2 linked regions of the Arabidopsis thaliana genome follow. The protein of the gene in region 2 interacts with the protein of the main gene of each other region in a pairwise test. Each region holds a gene or a part of one and is shown on either strand. Other genes may lie near its edges.

Region 1 (5,744 bases), on a different chromosome or scaffold from region 2:
AAGAATCTCGTTGGTAGATTTTTAGGGAGGAATAGAAGAAATAGCGATTTACGTTTCTCGTCAAACTTGAAATGACCCAAAAGGGGTTTCCGATTGTGGTGTACAAATATTGGGCCATTATGGGCCCATTTCGTTTATGAGATTTTACTCCTAATTGGGCCACACTTGACTATTGGCCCATCTTAATACAAATCATTTCTTTGGGTTAATGAAGATAAAACTTTTTATGAGATTTTATACCAGATTGGGCCATACATGACTATTGGCCAAGCTAAAACAAATCATTTCTTTTGGGGTTAATGAAGATAAATCTTTTTAAACGGATTAAATTTTCTTAAAACAAAGCTTAGAATATATACAGTCAAAAATCTATAAATTAATATTCAATAAATTAATATCTCATTAAATTAATAATTTTCTTCCGTTCTCAAATTGATATTTTAGCCCAAATATTGTCTCTATAAATTAATAAACATGATAATTTATAGAGGTTTTACTGATTAAATTACAATTGCTATTTCAATTTGTAAAAATATTAAGAGTTCCTTTTGAATGACTTTGCTCAAAACGAGGTTTTAGAAAGTGCTAAAGCCTAAAGCTTCAAATGCACATAACACCAATATTTATTCTGCACGCATAAGATTTCTAAAATGATTTCAGTTGTTTTTCTTATTGCGTTTTAAAAACTTACAGTCTATTTATAAAGTGAAACATCTATAAAGAAGAAGAAGACAAACACGTATTTATTGTTAATATTTTTTTTTGTTGTTGAGTACCATATTAACCTAGAAGTTGGAACCGGGCATAATTTTTGCATGTGGCCATTTTTCATGTGATTTACCTATCAGTAAATTTTTGCATAACCGTTACATCGTTGCAGCAGGATTGAAGAAGGGATCATGTGAAAGATAACTGTTTCTGACTTTCTGTCAAAGAAACTTAATCTTAAGGTCGAAACTATATTGTATCATAGGTTATGTATACATAGACACATGATAGTTTGTTGCATAACATATTTTAATTTCTTTTAGAAAAACATAAAACCATGATCATCAAATAAAACAAAACATTTTTGTCTCATTAAGTAAATGCAAAATTGTTTAGTTCTGTTTTATATGTGAATGTTAGATACAGAATGATTACTTTTTCAAGCACAAAAACATTTTTTGCAATTAGTAATTAGCAAACAAAATAAGAAAGATACAATTCAATTGCATTATTGTACCCTTTTCTTCTCTTTGCATTATTGTACCACTTTTTTTTCTCAACATTATTGTACCCTTTATTTTTCTGTGCATTGTACTAATATTTTTTCCCCAAATTAACCAATCAGTGTCTTAATATAACAGTACGTCCAAGAATAATTAATATAAAGCATTGGTAGTTCATTACGTAATTGACTTGATTTGTTAGCAAGCTATCACTGAAGAGTGGTCCTAAATATTATAGGACAAGCGTGTGTGTGTCTATAATTCCTCCGTCTTCTCTATGGTTTTCAAACTAATATTTCCAAATGATCAATTAATGAGTTGTTTCTTTTAAAATATACAGTCTCTATATTGTTTTAGTAAGACAATATACCAAACACTTTGCGCTTTTAGCGAGCTAGTACGTACGTACGAGAAATAAAGTAAAAAAGTAACACATAAACTACGTATCAACGAGATCAAACTTTTGATAAAACAACATTAATCGCTAGAAGGAATTTGATTTTTCTAGTACTTATCAAATAAAACAAAAGGTCGCAAAAAAAAACAAAAATTATTATCACATCCTATGTTGACGTCACAAAACAAAGAAATTGTTATAGGCTTAGGGTTCGGACAAGTGTGGTCCTAAGCCTATCTTCCGATCTTAATCCTTCTGGAACCAAAACAACAACATCTTGAACCATAACCTGACTCAAGCGCGACGCGTTCGCGTGTTGTACACGACAATCCATTTCCATTAACGCACTCATCAATGCCGACGTAGGATGGTTCACATTCTCTGTCTGAACCCTAATTATGGCTTCTTCTCCGACGATCTTCACTTGCACTTCCAAGTCAGAGCCTCTGTTTGATTTTGAAGGTTTCTGGTTAACTTGGTACTCAACGGAAGACGGAGACGTATTGCTGCTGCTGTTGTCTAATTTATCTGTCTCCGTCATCTTCATTTTCTTGATCTCAGTTTCGAGATCATCGATTTTGGATTTAAGACTTTCTATGTACGAAACTGCGTCGGATAAAAGTGACGCTTTGTCCATTCGTGACACTTTTGGTACGATGGCACGTAGAGCGTAAAACCGGTGGTTTAGCTTCTCTCTCCGTTGCTTCTCCGCTTCCACGTGGGACAAAACCGCCGGATGATGTTTCTCTTTCGTCGCCGCAGCTACCCTTGTCGTCTCAAGTTTCCTCCTCCGTTTTCTTTCCGACCCGAATTGCTGATTTCCGCTTTTCGAATGATCTGATACCGCCGGTTTAGGGTAAGAACCGGTTTGGTTAGTGTGTTTTGTTGTTTTACCCGACCCGAATATGGACTTGACTCGGTTTATAAAGTTCCGGTTTTGTATAATTGATTCAGACGAACCAAGTTCGATAATGCCATTGTTGATGGGTATGGAGACCAATGTGTGTACCCCGTGAAAACCGGCTTCTTTAGCCCTCTCGTAGTTGCTAAACCGGAGCTCGTCGGGACCGGTTAACCAAACCAAAGATTCATCGGATACTTCCTTTCTCGGCGATCTATCTTCACCGTAAAACGATGCGGCATAGAACAACTCCAGATCATCTCCACCGTCCATCATCAGCTCACACTCGATGCTGTTTGTTGTATACTTAAGAAAGAAACAAAAACAAAAAATCAAGGGTAAGGAAAATTATATTATTTTCTTAATAGAACTTTTTTAAGAAGTTGATTTAAATAAATTTTGGATATTTTGATTAGATAACATAAGAGGCAAAGAAAAATGAACATTTTCTTGGGAATTGTTGTTCTTGTTTCCACAGAAATGACCATCAACCCAAACCAAGTAAGACCGGTCCGATTGATCATCAAACATCTTTTGCCAAAAAATGACATAAGCCCATCGGTCCGGTGAGGTTTCCACGACAAACCGGAGTTTTTGTTGAAGTACTAAATCCGGAGGAGAAGAGGACACTATGGCTGCAGGAGTTTGTTGTGTAAAAGAGAGCAAAGAAGAGGACAATGATGGAGAGAAAGTGAGATTATACATTTCTTTCCAGTGATCCCGACCAAAGAGAATTTAGAGGGTTAGAGAAGACAAGTGGAAAAGGATGAATAAGATTCTAAATTAATAGAGAAGACGATATTATAGTAGTAATATCAAATTTTCATTAATGATTTTCGTGAATTAAAGTTTATGATAAATATTCCAATAGTAGTAAGTTAGTCACGTGAAAACTGAACTGTTTTCCTACTTTAACGTTATAAGAACAACAATTTATCGTATAGTGGTCCAACTTTGATGAAATAGACAATATATCATTCTTTGCCAAAAAAAAAAAAAAAAAAAAGACAATATATCATTTAGATTTATATTGAATGATGGTTCAAACGAAAACTTATTTTGACAAATTTGAAAAGAAAAAAAAAACATGAGAGCTACAACAAATGGATATATGTGACTTTATAAATTTCATAAAGGAAATGATTTATTCAAATTGGGGTAAGCATTGATCGAAGTTGAGTTATATAGAAAACAATAAGGAGTTATTACTTATTAGAAGCGATCAATGATCCTCATAGCAGCGTCAGAGAGTTGAGCATAGATATTGATTTGACTAAATAGTTGGGGAGACGTGAACTTGACACGTTTGAGATTGAACATACATCTCAGAGGAAAGCCAAGCGCAAGCTTTATCGATTTGTTGGTTTTATCATAATCACCGGTTTTCAAACTTGTTTTGGCTTCCGACAGTATTGTAGATGCATTCGTCGACAAGTCTTTTTTGCAAATCTCCAGAGCTGTTTTCACTTCACCTTTATCTTTCTTTGACGATAAATTCGTTATGTTACTACACAAATGAAAAAATTGATATATTAGAGGATATTTCTGTATATTGGTTATAATTTGTAAGTGAAAACTTGCTTGGTGATGATATGGAGGTGGGATTCAAGACAGTTTATGACGATGCCAGCTATGCCTATATGGTCGGCGTGAATGGAGTTTGGGTCGGATTCAAGACATTGCATGCATATGGCTGGGACGTCTGCATTGTGGCATTCATTTATCATCATGTCCTTCTCGGCGCATATCGACATAGGAGAGATCACCAGTATTAACAGCAGAAACTTGATCATCGTTTTCATGCTAAGTATGATTGATTATAGACTATATTTCTTTTTAAGGGGTGTGAATTACTTATATAAACTAAGAATATGGTTGGTCATGACTCATGAGTGATCTCTTTTACATTACACGTGTTTAACGTCTTTAATTTTACCTTTAAAACTGACCATTGAAATGCAAATTGATGTCTTATTTTACTTCATTTGGGTAGAAAAGCAGATTATAGTTCTCTTTTTGAATTATAATTTATACATTTTCTTACTCCATTCAATAATATTATGATCTATTACCCTTTAGTTTATGTTTTAAGTTTTTTTAATACATTTATGGATATTATTAGACATATAAACAATATAATAATTAAGATGTTTTGGCTTAGAACCTCCTAGTATTAAAAAAAAAAGTAGGGTAATTAATGATGTTTTTTCTTAAAACAATAACTAAAAGTAAGTAAAAGTTTTTTTTTTGTTAATTTTAAATTTTACTAATTGTAAGTAGGTAATAATAAAATTTAAATAAATTAGTGTAATTGTTTTTTTTTATATATACTTAGCTGAATACTTCCGTAAACATGTTTATAATACAAAAGCCCAATTTTGGCCCATAAACTTATAAAACATGGGTTTTTTTTTGTCGTTATAAAACATGGTTTTAGTTCACGAAGAATAATATATTCCTACCGCATCTAATCTATTAAACAAAATCACGTTATTGTATTTGGTAGTGAGTGTTGTTATTCTGGCCATACAAATGGTCAAAAGCCTCTCGTCCATTTCTTTCCATTTTCAAGATTCTTCAATCCATCATTATTTTGCTTTACTTATAAAGAATCGTACGAAAAATTATAATCGAAATAAAGTTTCGAATATACGTACTTCAAACAAAATTAAGAGGAGAAGACCACTGCACAATTGCATATTTATGGTAGATTTTGCTTCACTTTTTTTTGCAAGTGTATGATTAAAGTTTTTCTAACATATCATGAGGTTGTTATTTTTGTGACCGTAAAGATTTAATGAACAACAATTGCGTAGACAACAATGTTGATCAGATGAATTTATAGATTTAGCGAATAAATTTCTTAACTTAATCATTCATTTACAGGAACTTCGTTTTCACATATCTTTATGAACGGAAACGTAACATAGAAGTTATATTGATGAATGGTGGTATATATGTGAAATAACCACTAAATTACTTTCTTCTCCAAATGATTAACCTGTTGTAGAATAGTTTGGCAAAGCCGATAGAATCAGTCCATTGGCCTCCAGTGAAAGGCTTCCACTTTTGAAGTTTTTATAAATTTTCATTGCCAAATTTCATCTTTTGTAACTCACTTTGGAGGAACTTCAAAATCTTGTATCACTTTATCTTTTTCTCTAACATTGTTTGCTTCATAGCATACGTTGAGTCGACAAACTGATTGTTTTTCCTTCCATGTTTTAATCCTTTT
Region 2 (6,432 bases):
TGTGTCGGGATCAGTAAGACGACGACCACCACGCACCTTTCGTTTCGCTTGGATTAGCAAAATGTCTAATGAGACATATAGAGATTCCACTTTTGAGCAAGGCAACTTCACGAACGCAACAAACTCCCCTTTCGCTATTCTAGTCTTACAAACCATCACATCTATTACTCCCTTGTAAAAAGAGCTCATATATTTTGACCCACGATAAATTTCTTAAAAAAAAGGATGGAATTCACTGAAATAATTATTTTTAAGATATCTTAGTTCACACGATATAAAATTAATTTAAACTAAACTCACTTACATCTTTAGCAAGTGTTGTATACTCTGGGCGGAACAAGTGCAGTTTTGCGGCCACATGTATAATTTTTAGGAATACCAATGCCTGAAGAAAAAGTCAGACGTTTCACAACTCCTACCACGTCAAAATGTCTAACATTATTAGGTGCTTCGTAGCCAGGTTCGACATTCTACACAATCAAGTGAAGCCACGGCTTAGGACATTATAGTAGAGGAGCATATTTTTATAAAAAAGTTTTAAGACTTTTATGTTATAAAAAAAATCAATTATAAGCATTTTTCTATATATTTATATTTGTTAAACTTTTCATTTACTATCTTTTTTTCATCTTTTTAAATTAATAAAATGTCTTATTAATGAATTTAGTTTAGTAAAATTTTAGATTTAAGAAAAATAAAACCTTAAACTCTAAAATTTTGATTACAAAAAAAAAGTCAAAGACTTTCTAATGTAAGGTGCTTGAACTTTGATTACAAAATAAAAACTTTGTTTTTATTAATCAAATAAATGAGTTGGCTTTGCTATCCATTAAGACAATTATGTTTGAAAAACTCGATTACGTGAATTTGATGAATGGTTTTGGAGGTAAAAATCTAAATAGAGGTATATTTAAAAAATATAATTTTGTTTTTTTTTCCTATTTTTTTGCTTACAAAATGCTTATAAAGTTCAAAAAAAAAAATCTATAAAGTTTTAGTATAACTTTTATATACTATTAATTTTTTGATTATGCAAAAAACAAATAAAGGGCATAAATGTTTTATATCTGTAGGGCATTCCTACAAATATTAAAAGTTTTAGTATAACTTTTAATATATATATATTATTGTTTTTCAAATTAATTCTTACTAGTCAAAGTTAATGGGATTGTTAGAAATTATTCACGTAAACAAACAAATATATATTTATATATATATGTATATATACTATTATTATTCAAATTAATTCTTACTAGTCAAAGTTAATGGGATTGTTAGAAATTATTCATGTAAACAAAGAAATATATAAAATTTTCTTCTATTTAAAAAAGCAAAAAAATTGACTCTTGAATTTTGGTATAGTACTGGTTTAGCTAAGGATGTACTAAAATTTATTATTGAAGTTGATCGATGAAGATGACAACACCGTACTATATATATACACATACTAAGAGGGAGAAAATAAAACACTTAGTTAAGTATACATCGAGGAAAATGACTTTCAAAATTAAGAAGAATGGTTTAATGGTGCAATTGCGTATTAGTTCTCATATGATTTAATTTTTAAATATCTATTTTCACTTTTCGTATAAATTTTACTTATTCTAATAATATCTCTTAAATTTATAAGATCTTGTGTGACCGTTTTTTGGTATGTGTCACTAGTTACATTATTGAATTTAAGGGTTCGATAAAAACTTATGGAATGATCGGGTAAATATATTTAACCACGGATACTTATTTGATTTTACATCTAGGTTTTTTAATGTTAAAAGTAGATTGATCACCTAAATTTAAGTCTAGGGATATGTACGAAACAAAAATGTTTAACAACATACTCGTAAGAACCTTAAATGAGCAATACTTTCTTTACCAATGAAAGCTGCTGTTAGAGGGCATCCTGAACATGTGGAGGTTAAAATTAATGACTCTCTAACTATTTTGTTCAAACAGAATTTCATAGATTTTCCATTTTTTATTTTACTCATTTTGTAAATAACCTCATTTTACCATTGATCAAATAAATTTAACATTTCATATAAAAAAAAACCTCATTTGAAAATTGTATTTAAGTATTCAATTATTTGGAGATTGTATTCAAGTATTTAATTTGACAAATATAATTTGGTTAAATATTTCAAGTATTCTAAAAACATTCAGATATTTCAGTTATTTCAGATAGTTTGGTTATTTTGAGTGTAAACATAACTAATATCTTTAAATTATAAATTATAAATTTGGCTATCTTGATTATTTGAAATATAATTAAGAATAACATTTTAGATATATAATTGTATTTCAGATAAGTCTGACATTCACTAGATTTTTAATTTATTTTTAATTTTATTCCCATATTTTTTTTTTTTCTTCTCATAAGTGTATTATATTAACCACCAAAAGAGGAAACAAAGCATTAAAGCTTACAACGATATGTGCAGAAAGAAAAGTTAGGCCCAACATAGCCCATAAGATTAACATCTACGGCATAAAGATGTTTTGACATTTGGACTCTATCCAATACACGTGTCCACGTGATATTACAACTGCAACACAAGATGAAGAGTCATCGGAAGTGTACCGACATCAACCTTCGCCGCCGATGAACACCGAATCCGGTGAGGAATGCATCGCCGAAACATCGCACAATGAATCCTTGTAACCACCGAAATAAAACTGAACGGTGCTCCATTTAAAAGACACAGCAAAAAGGAATCATAATAAGCATCGGAATATTCTTCAATCTTTCAACCCGAAGACATAATCGCTTGATAGATTTCTGCAAATCGAAGTTTCTAAAGACACAAGACAGAAATTAATCTTAAGTAACTAGCACCTAAAACTAATTACCATCTCAAATCTGTTGAGATTTATTGAAAAACAAAACTAAAATATCAAAGCAATCAGCATAAAACTGATTGACTACGAGCAAGGATACAAGCGGCCAAAACCTCTTATGAAAGCAGGATTTGCCGTACGGGAACCGGTCATCTCCACTAAAAGAGCTAGAAGATACCGGGCAAAAGCCCAAATTATTTGGAACGGCTATCATCGGAAAATTCTTGTAGGTGGAGACAAAAAGCTTTCCCTCTCTGAAGGTTTTGTGAGAGAGAAGAGAGAGAGAAGCTTTAGCTCTTTTTATTCCCATATTTTTTTAAAAAAATCATTCAGATATTAATTATCTAGTTCTGTTCGTTTCCTTCCAATCCAGTTCAGTTTAGTTTGGTTTATTCGGTTCTGAGCCGGAGCAACAAAAGGATCAATCTTAAAATCCTCGTTATGTTATGACGATTTTGACGAGGACCAATATTGTAACTTTCTATAGTTTATTTTATTATTCCTCCTTGTAGAATAGTTTATTTGCAAAATAAACCCATATTAATATCTCTTTCTCTTTTTTTCACCACACTCTCTCTCTCTCTCCGGCTCACACGAGTCGCTAATCAAATAAACCTAAACCCTAGATCGTGATCGGCAACGGCACCTCCTCGTCGGCGATAGCTTCTCTTCCACTAAAAGAAAATCCTCTTCGGTATTCTTCTTCCTCTAATCAATCTCTCTCTCCGTTTCGGATTCTCATCTCCACTCGATGACTAGAAACGTCTCGATCTGTTTTAGATTTGACAACGATTCATGATTCTGATTCGTTCATTGATTTGATTCTCTTTGATTTTGTGTTAACTCTCGTTTATAAGCTTAGATTTGGTTCTCGTCTCTGATTCTGAATCGTTCTTGTAGTGATTTGATTTATCATATAAGCGTAGAAGAACAATTTGTGTTTAGTTGAATTTGATTTTTGTTATGTTTAGGTGAGAATGGCAGAGCATTTAGCTTCAATCTTTGGTACTGAAAAGGATAGAGTGAATTGTCCGTTTTACTTTAAGATTGGTGCTTGTCGTCACGGTGACCGGTGCTCACGGCTTCATAACCGTCCCACCATCTCGCCGACGCTTCTCCTCTCGAACATGTACCAGAGACCTGACATGATAACTCCAGGTGTGGATCCTCAGGGACAGCCGTTAGACCCGAGTAAGATCCAAGACCACTTTGAGGATTTCTACGAAGATATTTTCGAAGAACTCAACAAGTTTGGTGAAGTGGAGAGTCTCAATGTTTGTGACAATCTTGCTGATCATATGATTGGGAATGTGTATGTTCTGTTTAAGGAGGAGGATCACGCAGCTGCTGCGTTGCAGGCTTTGCAGGGGAGATTTTATTCCGGTCGTCCTATCATTGCTGATTTCTCTCCTGTGACGGATTTTAGGGAAGCTACTTGTAGGCAGTATGAAGAAAACAGCTGTAACCGTGGTGGGTACTGTAATTTCATGCATGTGAAGCAGATTTCGAGGGAGCTTAGGAGGAAATTGTTTGGGAGGTATCGTCGTTCATACCGTCGGGGAAGCAGAAGTCGAAGCAGGAGTATAAGCCCTCGACGTAAGAGAGAGCATTCGCGAGAGCGAGAGAGAGGGGACGTTAGGGACCGTGACCGGCATGGAAATGGGAAAAGGAGCAGTGATAGATCAGAGAGGCATGATCGGGATGGTGGTGGAAGGAGGAGACATGGAAGCCCGAAACGGAGCAGAAGCCCACGAAATGTGAGAGAAGGAAGCGAGGAAAGGAGGGCGAGAATTGAGCAATGGAACCGAGAACGTGATGAGGGAGTTTAAGGGTATCGTTTGGGCTGATTACTTCATAAAAATCGGTAAAATCTTGTAATGGATATTCATTTGGTGTTCTTTTTTTGAACTTGAAAAATGAGTGGCATGAACTCCTTAGATGATGTAAGGTGTTTACTGTATTTTGTAGAATTTTTGTTTAGAAACTAGTTCGTGAGGCAAATGATGGGTTCAGTTTTTCTAAGTTAATGTGGTAATGATCCCTTGGTTATTGTTCTTTATGATTGTCCCTTGCAATGTCTTCTTATAAGGTTTAAACACTTTGTATTGTTCGGGGAAAGAGATAAATGTTGTACGATTTTTTTGGGTGGATTGAATGAAGAAACCGAACCCAACCCAAATATTAACCCAAATATTATAAATACCCGAATGGGTGCTATGAGCCTAAACCCAAAAAACCCGAAGCGTATCGGAGCGTGTATTCGAATGCCAAGCCCTAGTCAGTTTTATTATTGTTAGTGTCCACTTTTCATGTTTAATGGATTTTGTTCTCGATAACTCAAAAAGTTATTATTTACAAGTGTGGTATCAGAGCATGGTTCATGATGCTACGGGAAACCATTTTCAATGTTTTATTAAGTAAATGTGTCGCAAAAGATGTTAGGAATTGGTTCAATCACTTGCTAAAACTTAAGTAGATGGGATTATATGACTTATCCTTTTTGTTGTGTTGTAGTATGCCGCCAAAGAGATCTCATGGTTGTGATTCAGTGGGAGAGGAGGGACGGTCCATGGGTCTGCCACCCCAAAGATACTATCTTTTGTGAGAGAGTGGGGAGACAGTATATCGGAAAACCGCTGACAAAATTTTCCATAGAAGGAGCAACAACAGTGGCTAAGCTCCACCATCTTTGTATGTACAAGCAATTCTGGCAAAACTTGACAGAGAGCATTCTGGAACAGTAAAATATCTCCAGGCAACGGCTCCATGCCGAGAGAAGACCAGGGAGAGAAAGAGATATAGAGTGAAGGAGATATAGTTCCAACAAATTTTAAGTTTAAGAAATGAACATTCATCTTTTAGGGCTTTCTTTATTATGTTCTACAACAACAGTAACCAAAAAAAAGAGAGCTAGTGGTATTGAGACGATACATGACTTAGCTGTGGGAAGGTTTTGAGTTGCCGATTTGTTCTGCCGTGTTTTCGGCTTTCTGCTTCCGATTGTAAAAGCTAATTATCTTCTTATCCAATTTGTAGTATGACTCCATTCTCTTAAGTGGTTTCAGGCTTAGATCAATGAAATGTACCTACAGTTACATAAATCAAATATCAAACAAATATAACAAAATGAAGAAACCGATTATATGGTTCCTGAGAACTCAACGTTTTCTAAGGAAATTTCTGTTCTTATAATGATTCGCGGATCCCACATTTTATTTTTAGAGAATTGTACCAATGATCTCAGCAAATATTATTAATAGTTCTTTCACCATATAAGACAAGAATGTGTTAAAATGGATCATACCTTGTAATCAAACGTTTGATTGGTCGGTTTTAGAGAGACGTAATCACCCGAGGGTTCTGAATCCCAAGCATTCCTTGATTGAAAACTGATCATAATACTACAGTCTTTGGCAGTTGCAGCTATCAAATACTCCTTCACAATCTTCAAGCTTTCATCTAAAGGTAAAGCATGTAGAGACAATTCCGCCTCCAGTGGCTTACCTTCTTTACATATAGGACAAGGCTGGTTGATTAAATCGTAATACGAATGAATCGCTCCTTCAATGTCTAATTTGTCTAGCTTCTGAATTTCAA

Evidence for each region. Proteins that work in one complex are often made in the same cells at the same time.
Region 1: the proteins of U2AF35B (region 2) and AT4G00870 interact in binary tests that used the Arabidopsis thaliana proteins (3 or more experiments, as listed by UniProt).

What each region holds. Positions count from the first base shown.
Region 1 is NC_003075.7:360,426-366,169, forward strand, and holds AT4G00870 (basic helix-loop-helix (bHLH) DNA-binding superfamily protein), read right to left. Parts: upstream 3,285-5,744; 5' UTR 3,215-3,284; coding exon 2,954-3,214; intron 2,816-2,953; coding exon 1,805-2,815; 3' UTR 1,508-1,804; downstream 1-1,507. Other genes in the region: AT4G00872 (Plant invertase/pectin methylesterase inhibitor superfamily protein), read right to left, coding at 3,722-4,016, 4,091-4,311.
Region 2 is NC_003076.8:17,168,677-17,175,108, reverse strand, and holds U2AF35B (Zinc finger C-x8-C-x5-C-x3-H type family protein), read left to right. Parts: upstream 1-2,321; 5' UTR 2,322-2,851; coding exon of another isoform or gene 2,852-3,145; 5' UTR 3,146-3,529; intron 3,530-3,806; 5' UTR 3,807-3,812; coding exon 3,813-4,664; 3' UTR 4,665-5,018; downstream 5,019-6,432. Other genes in the region: AT5G42825 (uncharacterized protein), read right to left, coding at 2,852-3,145; IPK1 (inositol-pentakisphosphate 2-kinase 1), read right to left, coding at 5,772-5,921, 6,140-6,432. UniProt on the Arabidopsis thaliana protein: Necessary for the splicing of pre-mRNA. Probably active at the 3' splice sites.